2 linked regions of the Neurospora crassa OR74A genome follow. The protein of the gene in region 2 interacts with the protein of the main gene of each other region in a pairwise test. Links are inferred from orthologs where the notes say so. Each region holds a gene or a part of one and is shown on either strand. Other genes may lie near its edges.

The links. The genes of interacting proteins can lie anywhere in the genome.
Region 1: the proteins of NCU02264 (region 2) and NCU02963 interact in binary tests that used the Saccharomyces cerevisiae proteins (3 or more experiments, as listed by UniProt). The link is inferred for Neurospora crassa OR74A from reciprocal best matches to the Saccharomyces cerevisiae genes PAC10 and GIM5.

Annotation. Positions count from the first base shown.
Region 1 is NC_026501.1:8,560,915-8,566,165, forward strand, and holds NCU02963 (c-myc binding protein), read right to left. Parts: upstream 3,402-5,251; 5' UTR 3,250-3,401; coding exon 3,228-3,249; intron 2,976-3,227; coding exon 2,814-2,975; intron 2,340-2,813; coding exon 2,230-2,339; intron 2,177-2,229; coding exon 2,059-2,176; intron 1,980-2,058; coding exon 1,924-1,979; 3' UTR 1,653-1,923; coding exon of another isoform or gene 1,241-1,652; 3' UTR 1,101-1,240; downstream 1-1,100. Other genes in the region: NCU02964 (hypothetical protein), read left to right, coding at 3-86, 216-787, 870-1,100, 1,241-1,652; NCU02962 (hypothetical protein), read left to right, coding at 3,889-4,494, 4,560-4,749, 4,806-5,251.
Region 2 is NC_026507.1:3,135,241-3,140,202, reverse strand, and holds NCU02264 (prefoldin subunit 3), read right to left. Parts: upstream 2,871-4,962; 5' UTR 2,844-2,870; coding exon 2,653-2,843; intron 2,386-2,652; coding exon 2,151-2,385; coding exon of another isoform or gene 2,019-2,150; exon of another isoform or gene 1,972-2,018; intron 1,889-1,971; coding exon 1,664-1,888; intron 1,582-1,663; coding exon 1,465-1,581; 3' UTR 881-1,464; downstream 1-880. Other genes in the region: NCU02263 (Sec14 cytosolic factor), read right to left, coding at 1-69; period clock protein FRQ, read right to left, coding at 4,041-4,962. UniProt on the Saccharomyces cerevisiae protein: Binds specifically to cytosolic chaperonin (c-CPN) and transfers target proteins to it. Binds to nascent polypeptide chain and promotes folding in an environment in which there are many competing pathways for nonnative proteins.

The DNA of each region.
Region 1 (5,251 bases), on a different chromosome or scaffold from region 2:
CCATGTCATTCGCCACCGGAGCTCGACTGCCCAATTCTCGTTCGGGCGCCTCATCCTCGTCGCAGCGCAGCGGCCAGGCGTCTGAGGTATTGAACATTCAGGCGAGTACCTTTCAGCTTTCCCCTTTCTCTCAAGCAGCGCAGTTCTACGTCTATGTCTATTGAGGAAGAGTGCTTTCACCCCCATTTCACGTATACTGATATTTTCTTCTACAGGTGGACTTGGTGGTCCCAACTCGTGGCTTTCGCATTGTAGACGACCAGGACCGAGAGCTCAAGACAATCTTGGAACAGATCGAACAACAGCACCGTGTCAGGATCTGCCTCAAAGCACAGGAGGATCCCATCCAGATCTCCGCTGCTTCTCCCAAGAACGCCCAGGCGGCCATACGCAGCATCTTGAGGAGCTTGATGCTCCGTGAAGGGCATGCGACAGTCTGGCGAGATTCAGTACTTGTGGCTCCGCCCAGCAGCGACAAGCGTGTCATACGGATACTTCTCCAGGACAGCCCTGAAACCACATGGTTTCGACCAGCCGCGACACTCACCGACTCTACTGAGGTGGCCGATGCTTTGGCTGTCCAAGCTTACAAGAGCGATCTTGCTGCTGCGATGGTCCGCGTGGGTGATGGCTTGCGGTATTGTCCCAATAGGATGCGCATGCAGATCGCTTTCGGCAAACTGTTCTTCAAAGAACGCAAGCGGGGTACTACGAGCTATACGCTCGATGAGTTCTCGAAGTTGGCTCGCAGGGTGAGCAGCAGAGGGACTTCTTACATGGAGATGAGGTAAGTGTATACTCTGGTCTTCCCTTCTGGTTCTCCTTTTTCTGGTCGCTTTCCCAGGCGATTAATGTCTAACACTGCTCAGACTGGGTGGTGAATCAATGCGCGAAAAGATTCAACATGCCTTCTCCCTCGATCCAGACTTTGAAGGCCCCCAAGGCATAGAAAACTTTGTGATTGTGACGACGAAAAATGTCAACCTGGAAGTGAGCGTCGATAAAAATCAAATCTGTGGTTTTACTTTCGGCTCATTGAACGTCTTCCATCGAGAGAAGAGCCACCGTAGTGTCGAACTTGCCACAGCATGCCCTGACAAGTAAGTCGGCATCTTTCTCACTTCCTTGCCAAACTAACACATCCCAGAAATCACGACTGGGTCTTGAAAGTCGAGTCTCCCATCGATGAGACCGGCAATAAGCTCCCACTCGATCAACATACACTGAGCAAGGGCATCAGGATTCGTCACAATGAGAACACCCGTTGTATTGAGCCTCACATTGCGGCGTCCTTCGCACAGAAACACCATATTGAGGCTCTCATTGGCAAGACGACCTGGTCCTATTACCTCAACAAGGACTACATCGTTGAGCTTTCCCTGTACCGGCAGTGGAGCACTATCTCGGGCACCAAGAGCCGACAGCCTCAAGAGCCCGTCGCTGGTGTGAGCGTCAGCATGTATCGACCGGAGTGGGACGACCACATGGCCAATGCTGACGTTTCAGCCGGACCGCGGTCCTGGGAAGCGTTTCCAGAACAGTTCTTCAAGTCATCCATGTCATCCGCTGACCCCACTAGGGATCTTGACCCGCTTGATGCCTTATTGCACTGGGTTGGAAAGGTCCAAACGGTGCTGGAAAGAACTGTATAGACAGACGCGGGCTATCAGCAGTTGTAGATGGAAAGTTGTCGTGGTGAGGTATTAAGAGCTGAAGTAGTGATGTTTGGCTGCTGAGCTCAAGGTCGCGGAACGGTTCTTCGAATACATGGGTGTGTCGTCATAATAATCGTCAATGGCTCAACGCGTATTCAAGGAGATCGAGGACATACACCAAGTAGCTGTGCCCAAGTTGTATTTTTGTCGTTTTTTGTTTGTTTTTTTTTGCTTCGCTTAATCACACAATAACAAGTCAGATTCTCCACTATGCCTGTGCCGATGCAGGTCCAGCTCCTTGTGCCAGCACCTTCTGCCTCAAGACTAGATGTTGATTCTTGTTAGTAACAATGCCATGGCTGAAATGCACGGACAGCTCAAGAAAAAGAGGAGAATGCCGTACCTTCTTCCACCACGCGGAGGTTGTTAGTCTTTCCCTGGACAATGGCTTCCAAGTTCTGAATGTTGGCGCCAAGTTCCTTGACCTTGGCATCGTAGAAATCAGTGGCACTTTTGGTGTCCTGAACGCTTCGAGTTAATAACATGTAGTGCCGTTCGTGGCGGAGAGACGTACCTTTTCGACGTAGAACCCAGTACCAACATCGACGATCACGCGGTCGGGGTTGGAGAGCTTGCCCTTGACGTAGAGGGAGTTGGTGAGGGGCACGAGGATGTCTTTGTTGTCTGTTGAATGGGGTCTTGTTGTCAGCGGTGACCATGACTGGAGGGTAGGCGTTCGGCTGGGCTTGGGTCGGGATGAAGGGAATGGAATTGTAGGATGGGCGTGGTGGAACAGCAGGTGGGAAGAAAGGGTGTTGATCGGATATGAGGATGGGAGATATGAGGCGTGGGGAGGTGGAGGATGGCGACATCACCGCCATGAGATGAGTAGATAAAAGTAAAATGAGGTGTAGACGTTTGTTATGGTTGTAAGTGGGATGAAGAGGACTGGAGAAAAAAAGGGATAGCTCATCGGGTCACATCAGAGAATGAGACAAAAGCTCACGAAGAGGTTGACCGTCAAGTGGAAGCTTGACAAAATCCATCCCCATCCCCCAAACTCCCGGCCCTTCGAATATACTCATAGACGATCCACCCCATCTCATCTACCACATCAAGATGAAAGAAAAATGAAGGAAACAGGTCAACTAAACATACCATCAAAAGAACTGCTTCCTGTCTGCACGATTCGCAAGCACTCTTTGAACTTGGCCTGCGCCGCAGCTAGCTGCGTGTACGAGGCCGTCAGGTGCTCGACCTCCTCGTCTAGCTGCTGCTTGACGGCGGTAAGTTGTTGAGCGCTGAGGCTCTCAATGTTGACTGGGAAGGTCTGTTAGTGACTGCCACACATTGAAACATCAAACGGGGAATGGGGGCGGCATCATGGTGTGGACTAAAGGGGGTGAGATGAGTGCGGGAGGTGACCAGGGGGGGGGATGGGGAAGGTAAGGTGAAGCTTGAGCTCGAAGCTTGATTGAGCTTTAGAGGAGGAGCGAACATGAAGCTCCCTTGAATGAGTGGGAGCTTGCAAGGTTCAAAGGAGCGGGCAGCGGTGAAAGGGGAGATACTTACCTCCTTCTTGCTTGCCAGACATCTTTACGCTTTCTTATTCGTTTGTAATCGAGAGAGGAATGGGCTAGATGTAAGAGTGTCTAATTCACAAAACCGAATGTGATGTTTGAACGAGGTTCAGTTCCAGTTGATCGGGCGGCCACGAGGGCCGGCAGCAACGATAGAGGTAGTGCGTGGAGGTGGTTGCCCCGCTATGAGAGCAGCTCTGTGGGGCAGAATTTTGCGGGCTTCCAGGGGTCGCTTCGTCGCTTTCCCCTGTTCGCTGCAGGCGGGGTACATGCCCGAGATCCTAGGTATGTAGTACCGAGTAAACAGTGACTTGACTTTCTCCTGACAACCATCTTCTCACTTTTCCTCGACAACATAGATAGGTCCATTGAGGAGCCAATCCTCGAACTGACCATCTTGTTCCAAGAGAAATACACGGCGAAGCGGCTTACTGGGTTGAGTATAACGGAAAACTGTACTGGAAACAGCATTTTATCCTTCTCGCTCTCTTCAAACTTTCTCGTCGGTTGCCACTATCAACGGGTGGCACCTCAACTTTTCGCGTTACACATAAGAACGGTCACCCCAGCAACCTCTAACAAACAAACACCCGAATTTCTTCTTCACCTCATCAACAAACCCCAACCCAAACTCGCAGAGAAGCACCACCATCATGGCGCCCTCACTGCCATCTCCCATCCCCAAAACCCGCATCGGCGGCATCCCCGGCGTCGACCGGGGCCGCAGCCTCTTCTCCACGGAGCGCTTCGGCGCCGGCGAAACCATCGCCATCATCGAAAACCCCTTGCTCGCTCTCCCAGACGACGCCAACATGCGGACGACCTGCAACTACTGCCTCTATGTCAGCGGGACGATCGAGTTCGAGGGCGATGTGGAAGCGGGGGCCCGGACGTGCAAGGCGTGCACGGGCTGCAAGGCGGCCGTGTACTGCAACGCCGAGTGCCAGCGGGCGCACTGGAAGCTGGTGCATAAGGCCGAATGCAAGATGTTCAAGCGAATCCAGGAGCGGACGGGCAAGGACTGGTTGCCGACTCCCGTGAGGGCGGTGGCGCAGGTGATGCTGTTGTTGAAGGCTGGGGATGAGGAGACTGTCAAGGCGTTTGGGCCTGGTGGTACGTTGGAGAGTAATGTGGAGGGGTTCAAGACTGATGAGGGCTTGTGGGGTGATTTCGAATTACAGGCTACGGGGGCGGTGGTTTATGCGGGTTTGTTGCAGAGTGATGAGACGTTGAAGCAGGCTATGGAGGTTTTGTGCAAGGTGAGTTTGATGTGGAAGTCTGGGTATCGACGTGTGATGTGAACTGACTAGTGCGGCGACCTTAGATCCAAACGAATGCGTTCAACAGGTTTGATGCCGACACGGGACAGGCGGGCATCTATCTTCACCCTAGTCTTTCTATGGTTAATCACTCTTGTGTTCCGAACGCCTACATCGCTTTCGAGAAGCGCAAGGCCTTTCTCAAGGCGGAGAGGGATCTTGAACCGGGCGACGAGATTCTGATTTCATATATCGGTATGGTAATTCCTTTCGCAAGCGAGGGTTTTCTCGTCTTCTAACTTGCCAGCCAGATCACACTATGCCTCGCCGTGCAAGGCAAGAGAGTCTTCGACTCTATCACTTCCAGTGCAATTGTATTCGTTGCAAAGAGGATTTGAATGCCTACGAAGTTATTCAGGCTTGCGGGGTTTCCCCGGGTGTCAAGTGGCTCAACTCCTCCAGTTTCCAGCCGGATGTCGCCAGCCTGGTTCCTGCTTATATCGAAAGGTCAAAGACAGTACCAAAGTCAAAGATCGAGGAAATACACTGGAAGTGTATGGAGTTGACTTGCATTGTTCAGGGGGATCCTATGGAGAATGCGCGAGCCCAGTGGGAACTTTGCAAACCTCTCAGGGATGCCCAGCTGTGGGCTCTCGATCCCCTTCCTCCCACGATTCTCAGGATAGCTACCATGCTGGGTTCTAACCGTACTACGCTAGCCAAGGCGCTTCCTCTACACTGCTTCATGGCGTTGGAA
Region 2 (4,962 bases):
GTGGCCCTCCTGCGCGTCGGGCGCGGTGGTAGGGTAGTCATAGTCGTCGTACTTGGGTTCAAGCTCCATGTTGGCGGTTGTGGTGTTGTAGAGGTCGTAGGTAGGTAGGTAGGCTGAAGCGGGGGGGTTGGGGTTGGGTATTATGAAGCTGAGGCAGGAGACAATGAAGAGACGACAATGATGTGTACAAACTTGGAAAGTAAGGTAGCGTTATAGGAGATGGATAACGCAGCTGAGTCGTGGCAAAAAGGGTTGATCCGAAGGGGAAAGGGTACACAGTTGAGTCTACAGAGTCAAGGCAGGCAGGCAGGCAGGAAGGGGAAGGAGGCCGGAGCCCGCCCGTGATGGAGATCGTTTAATTGGGGTTCCGTTGCAGAGGGCCGGGGCCCCTGAGATTCCGCCTGCCCCTGGGGGCCGCCTGCCCGCTTGGGACCCGACGTTGGGGCCCCATCCGCTAAGCTGCTTTCTGCTGTTGGCGCAGGGCACCTCATCCAGTATTCAGGTCGGGCCTGGTCTGCCGTTCGCCTGCCGCCGTACCAAACAGAGACAGAGTCAAAAGACTCGGGACCCCGTCTCCGAAACGAATGCCGTCGTCATGGCGGTCAAGACCACAGATGTGCTTCCTCACTCCCGAAATAGGGGTTTCAGTTTCCAGGGGGGCGGGGGTGGCTCACTTTTGACAAAACACTGACAGCGAAACAGACAGGTCAACGGCCGCCCGAGCGCCCTGCCTACATGCGCATTGGCCCCCCGCCCATCTGACTGTCTCGACTGGATAAGACTTGGGTATGTACACCACTTGATAAACGATGGCGACGATCGATCCGCGACTACACTACAACTCAACCAGACAAACTCGCCCCCTCAGCCACGTGATCTCCTCGGATTGGCTTTTGGTAACGTTGTAAGGCTATCTCGGTGTATGTTTGCGGTAGGTATCGTGACAATCTAAACAATGAGCCATAGCGTCGATCTCTCTTGTAGCCAAGTGATAGACAGTAACTTCCATCACAACCAAGAACCCGGGCGGGAAATATAAAAAGTCATCATCGTGCCTTGATCATGAGGCTATGGGCGTTGGAGGCCGCCAAACTCAAATTCTCTTTAATCTCTCGAGGTCGTAGCCTTGACCTAGGCCAGAGCGAACCTCATCTCGCCAGTCCCACTTCAGTCTCTCCAAAACGACAAACCGCTTGCGTGGCCCTTGTTCCTTTGTCTCGTGAACAAATGGCTACTGAGCGTAATACGACGCAGAATATCTGTGAGGTATCGTTCGCTATCATGTTGCTTTCAAATCAAGTCCAACTTACCAAGCCATCGTGAACCTCGTCTCACATGATCGCGGCCAGCAGCAACCTCGGCCGGCCTCCCTCTATTAGACATTCTTCAACCGTCGTTCGCTCCCATGGCATTTCGTGATGGTGCATTATCTCCTCGCTTTCTGTATTAGACCTAATCTCCTCTTCAACCGTCCGACGCCGTCTCGCTCTTCTTTCCTTTTGTCTTCTCCTCCTCCTCCTTCTCTTTCCTCTTCTGCACGACGTCCCAGTTGTACACTCTGGCAACCGCAACTTCCATCGTCTATGGCGCATCGTTCAGGTCAGTCAAGGTTCCAAGATCGGTAACAGAACTACCATCTTCGCGTTCTCCGCCCAACACGTACCGTAATCTGTTCTCTCAAGAAATCCAGATCCTCCTCGCAGTTCTGCAAGCTCTGCGTCGCCGCCTTGAGCTTCGAGTCAAGCAGCTGCTCGGCCTCCTCAATGGGATACGACAGCATGACGTTGGCGCCGAGCCAGATGTACACCTCGTCCGTGGGTGGGATCTTGGCCTGGGCGTAGAGAGTCTCGTTGAGCTCGAATGTGGTTTCGATCGGGTCTGATTCGTCCTGTAAAACAGACAAAGTAAAAAGGTGATCTTGTCAGCGTGTCTTGTTCGTGTGCGACCGTATCTTCGTCCATCCATCCATACATCAATCCACGTCCTTGTTGTTCATGCTCGTCCTTGACCTTTGGTTCTCAATTACCCTTTCCCCCCGCCCCGGGCGCATTTGGTATTGTGCCCGCTGTATAGCTAGCTGTATAGCCCGTATGTTCGCGTGCCCTGAAGACGGAGGTGTGTGTGCGTGTGTGCGTGTGTGTGTGTCGTACCTTTCTCATCTGCAGGAACCGCACCGTGTCCAGCGTCTTCTGGATATCCGGCATCTTATCCTTCAAGCCCACCACCCGTCGCTGGAGGTTCTGCTCCATGAATTGGTACTTGGCAATCAACTCTTGGAACCGCCTCAGGGTGGGTTCGACATCCGCGCGAGACGTGACATAGTCCTCGACCTTGTCGACGAAGGGCGCCTGGGGGATACCTCGGGGGTTCGCGGGCGTGGCATCACTGTAGGTTTGGCGGAACGCGGGAGCAGCAGGTCAGCTTGTTTTGTGTTTCTATAGGTAGGCTAGGCTAGGCTAGGCTATGCTAGCAATGAGGAATACTTCGAGCCATGTCCGACTGTTGAAGTTAGGGGTGATGACATGAGACTCGTCGTTCAAGAGGGGCAAGACGTTGCTTTGTCCTGTCACCACCAACATAAGCTCTGATGCTTGGCCAAGGTAGGGTAAGGTAAGGTAAGGTAAGTAGGTAGTTCAACTGGGACTGACTTACCGACCCGCAGTTTCTACTTCTTTTCCTTTGGTTGCCATTCTGAGTATGGACCTTACATGTCGGGTTGTAAGGGGGAAAGGAAAAGACCGATCAAGGCGGGGAGCTTCCACTTGCGTGCCTCGGTTGGCGCCGAGCTCGTTGTTTACGTAGGTAGGTAGGGCCGTAGGTAGAGGTAGGTGCGATATGGTCATGGATGGAACCCCAAGGGCTGACTTGCCCGCCCGCACCTCGCTGAGCTCGCTCCCCCGCCTGCAGCCAGGAGTCCGGTCGAATCGATTTCATTAAGGTGGGGCAGGCCCCTGCCCGCGTACAGTACAATTCACCTCTGGAAAGTTTTGTTAGGTAGTGAGAGACCTTGAGTCAAGGGAGTTTCTGGGCGGGTGAATCCAAGCATATGTGCTTCACTGGATCGGGAAGGCTTGGAATCAAAACGATCATGTGAAGCCCTCGTTTTTTGACGTGTCTTTTCCTGGATTGAGATATTTGTACATGTCTTTTTGTGTGCTATGGTACTGCTGGCGATGGCTTCATCAGAAGACCCATGCTAACAAACAACCGACCGTTGGACTGTGATGACGACCCTGATACTGTCTGTGTAGCCCGCCCAGCGTTGGATTAATCAGGGGCTTGCTGATAATGCGCTGAGGGTCTTACGCCCGACCTAGGGATCCACGATTACCGCTCGATCATCAAAACGTTCCGGCAGCGAGGCCATCGTGGAGACAACGAACCGGGACTAGTGATCGATTCACTTTGAAATCCTATATACACTACATGCCCCATCAGACCTACCACCAAGTCCAATCCTTATTTTACGGGTGCACCCGTTGCGACTGATGTCACCGGCCTTCTGCTACTACTGCGAATCGTTGATACGAATTTAAAAAAACAGGTATGTTTTTTTCTGCACACGGAGTCATCTACAAGGAAGCCAAGAAAAAAATATCAGAAATAAAAAGATGAAGAAGAAAGATAAAACCCCCCATAAAAAAATAGCCAGAGAAAAAAACCCAAAAGCCACACCGTTTGAAATCCAAACAACACTAACCCAGACGCCCCAAAAAGTCCCCAACTCAACACCCCCTCCCTCCACCCACCACCCACCACCCATGGCCGCCCCATTCATGGGATCCAGATCCCTCACCCGGCAATCACCTTCGTTGGATATCCATCATGCGTATCGAGTCCCCGAAAAGCGACAATTGCAACTCCCCTGAAAATGGCAAAAGCCAAGAACCCGCGCGCTCGAAACAACCCGCTTGCCCGCCAAAGCCAAAAATTCGAGAACACCGGTACCTGATTTCCTGACACCAGCCGCAATGCGTTCCTTTTGCTCTCGTATGCTCCCCGCGTCTTCTTCTCACATAGGAAAAATACCCACTCAGGTCTCACGAGGATGAGACGTCCTCCATCGAACTACTATAGCCACTCTCTGCCCCACCAGCGGTTGCAACCGAGCTGCCAGTGTGCAGCATGTCCACCTCTTTTCCGGTGACGGCTGCCAATGGGCTGTCGTCCCCATCCACCGCTTCTGCCCGCGGCATCATCGCCCGCATGTTGTGGCCGCTGTCCGACAAGCGATTGTCGTCGCTGTCCATCCGCACATCAGTCTCGGTATCGAACGCCAAATCGTCCTTCCGCATGTACGTGTTGTTGTCCGAGAAATGAGGATTTGCTCGGCGCGAGATCTGCCCCTCAGAGTAAGAATCTTCCTCCACCTCCTCCACTTCTTCATCGTCAGAAGCTAGATCATCGCCATCGTCCCAGCTGGAATCGGTACTGAACGGGGGATAGAAAATCGCCGGAGGAGGGAGTGGGGCTGGATTCAGCCGACGGAATTGCCCAGAGACGTATTCAACCTGCAACGGCGCGACAGTCAGCCTGTGACTGCGAGGAGGCAGAGGCGACGACGTTCTTATCGCTGCCAAGCGTTCGGCGATGAATTCGGCCGTATCTTCCGATGTTGTCGAGCGTGACAACTGCCGCTGCAGGATAGGTCTGACGACGCGGCGAGTGGTGACGAGCATCACAAAATGGTCGTCAGGAAGTACTCCACCAAGACCAGAGGGCTCCATGACTTCTTTGGCAATAGGCTGAATCCGAACCTTGGCAGGATCCTCGCACCATGGGAAGACGAAATCCTCGTCATTCGGCGAGGAACCGTCGTCGGCCACGAGTTCAGGCGGGTTTCCGGGGTCGAAATCCAACACCTCGGCCACGCGGGCCCGGTCATCACTGAGCGGCCTAATAGGAAGAGACGATCCAGACAACGTCCGCTGCAGCACATGTTCAACTTCATCACCAGATCCG